2 linked regions of the Drosophila melanogaster genome follow. The protein of the gene in region 1 interacts with the protein of each later gene in a pairwise test. Each region holds a gene or a part of one and is shown on either strand. Other genes may lie near its edges.

The links.
Region 2: the proteins of Ufd1 (region 1) and CG6873 interact in a two-hybrid assay, tested with the Drosophila melanogaster proteins (one large-scale study listed by BioGRID).

What each region holds. Positions count from the first base shown.
Region 1 is NT_037436.4:11,120,931-11,125,575, reverse strand, and holds Ufd1 (ubiquitin fusion-degradation 1-like), read left to right. Parts: upstream 1-2,359; 5' UTR 2,360-2,527; coding exon 2,528-2,654; intron 2,655-2,711; coding exon 2,712-3,535; 3' UTR 3,536-3,594; downstream 3,595-4,645. Other genes in the region: mRpL2 (mitochondrial ribosomal protein L2), read right to left, coding at 3,595-4,013, 4,170-4,635.
Region 2 is NC_004354.4:18,738,233-18,742,395, reverse strand, and holds CG6873 (uncharacterized protein), read left to right. Parts: upstream 1-2,500; 5' UTR 2,501-2,671; coding exon 2,672-3,118; 3' UTR 3,119-3,180; downstream 3,181-4,163.

The DNA.
Region 1 (4,645 bases):
AATACATTTTTTTGGGCACTTGGCAACCGGCAAATATGGCTATTGAATATTTCTGGGAACTGCTTGAAATCGATTGAATTACTATTTTCAGTAGTAAAAAGTAGGTAAAGCTAGGAAAGCCACTTGAAAATACATAATATTGAAAGCTAAGCAGTTATTTTAAACTATTTATACATAGTTTAATTGGGTACTAACTACCTCATGATAAATAAATCAAAGGGGTAGGTGGTTTATCTAAGTTTCTTTATAATTCTGAAGATATTTATATAAGCAGGTGTTCTCACTTGCATGAATAGAATCTCGTTGAAAAGGGGACATTTCTTATAATTTCTGAACGGAAATCCAGAACTTTAGTTTGAGAGACACTTGACCAGGTGCCATCCGAGCGAAAGATGCATTGAATCGGAATGGGAATCGGTCCACTTTGCACTCACACTCACTCCGTGCGGCGCCGAGTGTGTACACGCTATGACCTTGCGGGGTTGCTGCCACCCACCGCCCACTTTGAACCCAAACCAACTCATTCATGACCCAGAGCAATCCAAAACGAAATCCACGCCGTGATATCACGTTGTGCTGAAAACAAAAAATGTATAATTTCTTTGCTTGACGTAAGCGCAAAGATCTGATGTTCGGAAATTACGAAAAACGAAATGTTTTTTTTTCTTCGAAATTCTGCAGCATGCGTATACACAGATTTTTGGGAATTTTGCTGCTTGTGTCGTTGGGCTATTTTAAAGTTTAAATGCTTATCGGAAAAGCTGCTCCATTTCGTTGGCTGTGCGCTTGTTAAATTTAGTTCCCAGACGCAAAAACTGTACGTACACAACAAGATGCCGGAGTTTTTCTTCTACCCTTAGTACTTTGCTCATCACAGTGCGACTTGGCTATAAACGATTGTATTCTAATTTGAATTTTCAAAAGAGCAGGCGATTTCATTTCACAATATTTCTTTAGCTTTGCAAAGCGTAAGCAAGTGTCATGATAACGAAAAGTGGATTTTCCCAGAAATATTTATAAATAATTTTGATAAGTTTACACAGAAAGTAAACTAAGTTTTTAGCGGAAGTGCAATATAAACAACATTTTGATTCTCGAAAAGAGGTTATCTTTAAAATCAAAAACAGAAATCGTTGTGAGTCCACTTATAAGTAAAAACTTTTGGAAACTGGAATATGTTGGGCCATAGAGCGCTTATTAAATGAATTTACAAAAATTTGCAAGGATGCAACTGACGCCTTAAGTTAGGCTTCATTATTTGAAGCCAGCTTGTGAGTCACTGGAATTTCATATTCTCTCGATTTTAATACGTTTTACATGACAAAGACAAAAGATGGGTAAATTTCACAATAGAGGGGGGTGGGGCTCTTTGTTGTGGGGAAGTTAGGGCGAGAGCGAAAGAAAGGCGAAGAAAGTGGGGAGCATGATGGCGAGGGGAGTGTCTGGAAGCTGCCAGAAGAGACAAGAGAGCGGGAGAGTGCGCATCCTCTCGCTCTTTTCACCTTCTGTTCGGTGTTTCTGTTGTTGTTCTTGTTTTTGGTGTGGCTGCAGCTGCGAAGCAACAATAACAACCACAACAGAGACTCGAAAACAGCTGCACACGAAAACGGTGGCTGTCAAACTGTTTTGCAAAATTTAAAATGTAACTGTACTTGGCAAAAACAATACATTTTGCTGTATTTCTGTATGTCGTAAAAGATCTTTCGACCTGGAAGCTGGAGAACACTTTTTCCAGCCACTTGGCCACCACCCCGCCTTTGAACAAACCAACCAATCGATTGGCCAGCTTATTGATTTTTCTATTCGAACATTTTGCATTTGTTGCTCGTTTCGGTCTTTTGCTTAGTGTGTTTGGTTCGAAAAAAGTATTGGCAATCATGTGGGCATCGACATACACACTTTTTTTTTATCACACCCACGCGAAAAACACGCGGCGCCAGCCAGACTAAAAGGATACAGGCAGCATATCCTGCACACACACACACACACGCGCGCACAAAAAAGCTCGCCAGGATCGAGTGGTGCAGTTGACCAGCAAACCGCAGCTGCTGACAGCCAATTTTGAGTAGCGGAAACAGTTGGAGCTGCTGCCCCGAAATGGGTACTCACTTGATCAGCAGCACTTTTTCGAATCAATATACCCGTCTATTCAATTTTTTTTTAAGCGGGACGAAGTCGCGCGCAACCACCGGCTTGCTGGGTTTGTTAGAGATGTGCCGATAACTCGCCACTGCGATAGCTCGAGTTGCTACTTTTTGTTGTACGCCACGCGCTTGGGATTTTAGCGAAATATGCGTGCCACAACTTAGCTTGTGCCGCAACCCCACACAGTGCTGCCACCTGTGGGCGAAAAAGTTACGTCTACATGGTGTTCTGGTCACACTGCCCCCGCCGTGACAAACAAAATAGAAAAAAAAATAAAACAAAAGATAAAATTTTAGCCTCCCCCCTTTGAGAAATAAAGGGTCATTTGAGGCAGTTTAAATCGAAAAGAATCCATAGGCACGGAGAGCCCAGCACACATAGAATGTTCCACTTCAGCGGCTTCAACATGATGTTCCCGGAGGGACGCAATTTTCATGCCAACTACAAGTGCTTCTCCGTATCCATGTTGCCAGGAAACGAGCGAACCGACGTGGAAAAGGGCGGAAAGAGTGAGTTACGAGTGTAGGCTGGACAGAAATTATGTGAACAACACATTCCATCCACAGTTATTATGCCTCCCTCGGCGCTGGACACGCTCACCCGCCTGAATGTCGAGTATCCAATGCTGTTCAAGCTGACCAACGTCAAGAAATCGCGATCCTCGCATGCCGGCGTACTCGAGTTTGTGGCCGACGAGGGCAAATGCTATCTACCCCACTGGATGATGGAAAACCTGCTGTTGGGTGAGGGCGACATACTCAACATCGAGAGTGTCTCGCTGCCGGTGGCCACCTTCTCAAAGTTTCAACCGCACAGCACCGACTTCCTGGACATCACCAATCCCAAGGCGGTGCTGGAGAATGCATTGCGCAACTTTGCCTGCCTCACCAGGGGCGATGTCATAGCCATTAAGTACAACAAGAAGGTCTACGAACTGTGTGTCCTGGAGACAAAGCCCGGCAATGCAGTCAGCATCATTGAGTGCGACATGAATGTGGAATTTGAGGCGCCAGTCGGCTACAAGGATCACTCCGAAACGCAGGCATCGGGCTCTGGGCAGCAGGGTGCTGCTGGAACTGTTGGCGGCGAAATCGCTGGAGCCACCAACGCCATACTCGAAGAGGTCGTGGAGACCTTCAAGGGTTCCGGCGTACGTCTCGATGGTAAGAAGAAGAAGGAAAGCCAGTTGGAAACGCCGGTCGTTAAGAAGGTGCTAGCCCGCGGCGTTCCAGACTATGATTTCCAGTTTGGACTCATCCGTTTCGATCGCAACATTCGGCCTATCAGTGATAGAAGCCAAGAAGATGATGCCGTAGCTGGCAATGCGGACGCTTCCGATGCGGAGAGCTTCCACGGCACCGGTTTCTCGATGAAGAAAACGCGCAAATAGCTCTGTATCTCTAGTTCTAGTTATATATTGTGTGACACATAGAAATTAAAGGAAAAACCTCACAGGGGCAGCGTCAACTTGATGGCCTCCTCCTTGGGCGGAGCCGGTGGCGATATGGTGGTCATGGGCGGCAATCGGCGTATCTTGCGTCCGTGTTTGCCTTCCTTGCGCTTCCACAGACCGGAACGTGGTCGATTGCCCATCTCCCGCATCCGCTGGGCACTGCCCACATGCTCCTTGTTGTGTTCCGGGTTGGACAGGCGACCAACCGTCGCCATGCAGGTGCGCTGGAAGGCGAACTCCCGCTTCGAGGGCAGCTGCACCACCACCTTTTCGTCGAACTTGCGCAGAATGGTGCCGAAGGTGCCGGCGGCATGGATCAGGTGGCACATCTGGCCGGGGTTCTTCTCCAGACAGTGAATGCGTGTGCCCACGGGCAAGGCGCCCAATGGATAGGCATCGCCTTCGTTGGGACGCACTATGGGATCATACAAAAAAAAAAAATTATATTGGCATAACTGGTTGTTTCAGAGCCAGTAAAATTTCTAGATTCCATGCTCAGTTTAAGACTATACTCAGAGGATTACTTAGAAAACGTTTAATACTCCCGATGAGTAACAGTAAGTAAATTTACCCGGAATCCTAGGAATAAAGCGCGAGGTCTTGAGGATATCGCCAGCCTTCATGTTCTCGGTGGCCAGGATGTACTTCAGCTCATCGCCGACGGCAACCAGGGCCACTTTGGCGGTGCGACAGCCATCGCGTAGCACCTCGAGTACCAGTTCCTCCTGGGCGCCCTCCGTGGGACCATCCCGCACCCATTTAACCCAGCGATACTGCTGTTTGATGCCTCCGCCAATGCCCTTGGCCACCAAGCGACCGGAGACGGGATCCCGACCAGCCAAATGGGTGATCTTCAGCGGCTCAACGGTGTACTTCTCCGGAAAGTGCACGGTTCGTCGGAATTGCTGTCCGGCACCAGGTTTTGGTTTCTCCACCACTTTGGTTTTGCCGCGCAATTGCTGCAGAAACGCCGGCGCCGTGCGAAACGGCGTTTGTATAGTCAGCGTTGTGCTCAGCAAACGTGTTACACTTTGCATTTTCGATAGT
Region 2 (4,163 bases), on another chromosome or scaffold:
AGGTGTCGGAGTCACGACCTCAGTTCCCTGGCGATTGCTTCGATTGCTTGTTAATCATTCGCATGTTGGTCAACAATGTCCGTTGCCTCATCATGGAGGCAAAAGCGACGCCTGCCAGCCGTAAAGCGATTTTTATCGCCCAGCTTAGCAGGAAACTTATGCACAGTGTACACAGGGAATAAAGAAGTTGGCCCAAATGGTTGTTTAATATCATTACTTTTATGTATGCAGGTTAAACAGTGAGACAGTTAACAGAAAAGTATATTAGAAGGCTGCAAGATAACATTTATACGGTTGCATACTTTTAAGCACCTCTATGGGAAATTAAGAGGTTAATGTCACATTACAAACTTCTATAATATATGTTTCTTAAGCTCAACTTCAATCCATTATTTGATACCTTCACAAATATAAAAAAACTAAAATTTATTAGCAGCTTATGTTCATCTTTATCTTGCATCTCAAATGACTTGAAAAATTCAATTAAAATGTATCTAGTTTGTATTATGACATGATAAATTCCCCGAAATTGAAAGGTTATCATGTTCTGGGAATTGCATTTATTCCAGCTAAATGTTTATCTTATGAATTTCTGAAAGTGCCCAATGTAGAATATTTCTTGGAAACCTCTTACAAAGTCCAACTATTACATATACTATGTGCTTTTTCTCTGCGTGCTCGGTTGGGTGGGTGGTGGGTGGTTTGCGTCCGCGAAGGGCGAACCTCCATCATTTGCCCCGCCCCAGTTGGTCGACATTCAACGACAAATGTCTTTCATTTACGCGTAATAAAAACGAAATCTCCGTTGAACAATGGCCGCCGGGCGGCTTTTGAAGCTCCGGAAGAAAGTGGGTGTACGTATGTTGGGTGTTGGTATAGAAAGTGTGCCACCATGGCCATAACTTGTTGTTCTTCCCGTGTACTTTGCGGCTGCCTCAAGTGTATTTTACGTTATTTTATATTTAATTTACAGCTCAACCTCCCCAAGGGGACTTTCTCTGTCGATGAGAAAGTGTTTTACACACTCTCTCTCTCTCTCTCTCTGTCTCGCTCTCCATTTTCCCGCTCCAGGAGATGGTAGGCTCTTAATGGCATAAAAGTATAAGCCATACATGTTGATTACACGGCAAAAGAGCTTAAATATGCATGAGCCCGGGCCAAAAGCGCATTGAATTTAAAACGCATAGAACGGGGATCCTTTCGAGTCCTTAGAGGAGTGTCTATGTGGTACGAGTTATCTATTCCCAGAAGTTGTCGAGTGTCTGTAAGTGGCGCCGAGCGTTTGACAGCGTTGTGGAATGGGATGGGATGGGATGCGATGGGAATGAAGTTTGCCGGCTTTTTATGGGCTAAAGTGGATAAGTTAAATACATTTTCACTCAGTATGGATACTCATTTGATGGCGAAATACCACGACCATGGCGGAATGCCACGTCCATGTGCCACGAGTCACGAGCAACTCAAGGACCTTAATGTTAAAACGCGAAGCCCATTCCGCAGATTAATTAGGAAATGAAGTGCATGGCAAACGCAGCACTCGACTCGAGCTCTGTGACATTTTCCAACTCAATCGATGGGAAAATGGGCCATTGTCTGCTTTTAAAGTTTGAACAAAGGCAAACAAATGACATATTTAATTTTAAAGTACAATGGCTTATGAAAGAATCTGGCTCTAACATAAATCTGGCAACTCTTGTTATTTTCCGCACTAATGGACATTTATGTCCTTATTCATTGAGCTAGTGGGCGCCCCTTTAAACCATTAATACTCATTGCCAGCGGGCGTGTCATGGGTACTGGGTAAGACCAGTCCCCCCGAAAGCAGCCAGCTGCAGCTTGCCTCAATCTGCCATCCTCGCATCCTTGCATCCTTGCATCCTTGCATCCTGCGGCCCAACGCCTTTGTGCTCCTGTCAGTCAGCATGTCGTAACTACTTGCTAGCCAAAACGCATATGTGCGAATGTGTACATGTACATATATCCTGTCGCTGTGGCATTCGGAATAAAATGGTGCATTAATTCAACCACAAAGAGATCCGATATTCGTAACGCCAAGCCCATATCCACAAACTGGACATTGTTTCGGGCCACAAGCGGCATTTAGCAGATTTGCATGCACAAACACGCGTTGCATCCACTGGATGTGCGGCATCCTTTGCCTCGCATGGACAAAAGTGCTTACAAACAGTTCTAAATTTATCACTATTTGATTGGGTTGCAGGAAAGTGTGGGTTCTGGAGCAGAAGGTGCTGAAGCCATAAATATTCATGGCCCAGTTGCAGCTGCACTGTGAAAAAAAAATCCGCATCGTTGTTAAACTATTAATGTAAAATCTAAGCTAGCTTGCATTTCAACCATATTCGTTGTAATTCAAAGATAAAGGTGGGCTCTAAAAAAGCATGACTACTTAAATAAACAATATTCACAAGTATTGTCGCCTTATTGATATGACACCCTTTCAATCAACTCTTCATTCACTTTTCTCTCTGTGTGAAATTTGAGCATCCAGTCGGCTCTGCGTAAAGCATTTGGCAAGTCTCCGCCTGGATTTCGTACATATCTACATAAATCAAAGTTTCAAAATTTCTAGTCTCGCTGGAATGCACTGCGATTGATCCGACTGGAGGTTAACTGTGGACTAAATCTTGGCTGCTGCACTGAATCAACAAGCATGGCATCTGGAATTAATTTGAGCCGCGAGTGTCAGCACGTGTTCGAGCAGATCCGGAAGCTGAAGCAACATCGCTACGCGGTCTTCGTCATCCAGGACGAGCGGGAGATTAAGGTGGAGGTGCTTGGAGTAAGGGAGGCGAACTACGACGACTTCCTGGCGGATCTGCAACGTGCCGGATCCAATCAGTGCCGATTCGCTGTCTACGACTATGAGTATCAGCACCAGTGCCAGGGCACCTTGTCCACCTGCCTGAAGGAGAAGCTAATCCTGATGCTCTGGTGTCCCACTCTGGCCAGGATCAAGGACAAGATGCTCTACTCCAGCACGTTTGCGGTGCTCAAGCGAGAGTTTCCCGGCGTCCAGAAGTGCATTCAGGCCACCGAACCGGAGGAGGCGTGCCGCAATGCTGTCGAGGAGCAGCTGCGCTCCTTGGACAGGGAGTAGTCCTGCTGCTCCTGCAACTTCTGCTCCTTTTGCTCCCTTTTGAAATATAGTACGGATAATTTAGTCGGCAGTCGATTTAAATTGCCTTTTGGTGTCGGGTTTTCTTTTTTGTGGCGCCTCCAGTGTCCACTATCGACGCCATGTCCATGTCCACATCCATGTCCACATCCACATCCTCATCCACGGCTCGCTCTCGACTCATTCTCGTTCTCGTGTTTCGTTGCCAGGGGCCCCGATTTAATTTGATTTCGCCCGGCATCTAATGAGCCAATTTGGCATATGGATGCCTCTTGAAGCTTGCCACGGGTATCAGCTATAATTTGTTTTGTCCCCAGCTTCCTTCATCGCTCATTATCCTGAGAACGCGCGACTAAAAATACTTTCGCCCGAGTTGCGCGGCTGGTTGGCGAGGGCAAAGTTTTGGCATTCAGACTTTTTTATCTCATCCATAAATCACGGCCAAGTTGAAAAACGCCCCCATCCCGGCCCCGCGGCTTTCCATATCATTTGGCAAAAGTCTGCGAATTAATCAAATTGACGAGGAGCACGTCACCATTCTCAATTGCTACACTTCAAACAGGACTCTGAATTGAATGTGCTGCTATTCGTGTATTGATTTCGTTATTTCAATTGGAATAGCGAATAACCCATTATGTGAGTTTTCATCTTTCTATCTCCCGCTATCATCATTGTCAGCAGGACATCGTCCTTGCAGTGATGCCCACGAAAATATACATATTCTATTCAGTACTGCTTAGAATTGAGCTTATGCAAATATGAAATTCTAATTTCATGCAACAAGGATGGGATGTGTATTTGTTGTTTGGACAAATAGATCCCCAACTATTCTTATCACTTAATTTAACTTTAACATTCCTTTATGAACTGCCAAGGAATCTATCTGAGCCATTTAACAAGTTTATGGTTCGTAATTATGTAAATTCAACTAGGATATTTGGGATACACAGAGATTTCTTTTTGAGCAAGGACATCCCATTTGAGGCAGAAAAAAGGACGAATGGGCAGCACTTGGCTGGTAATTTTA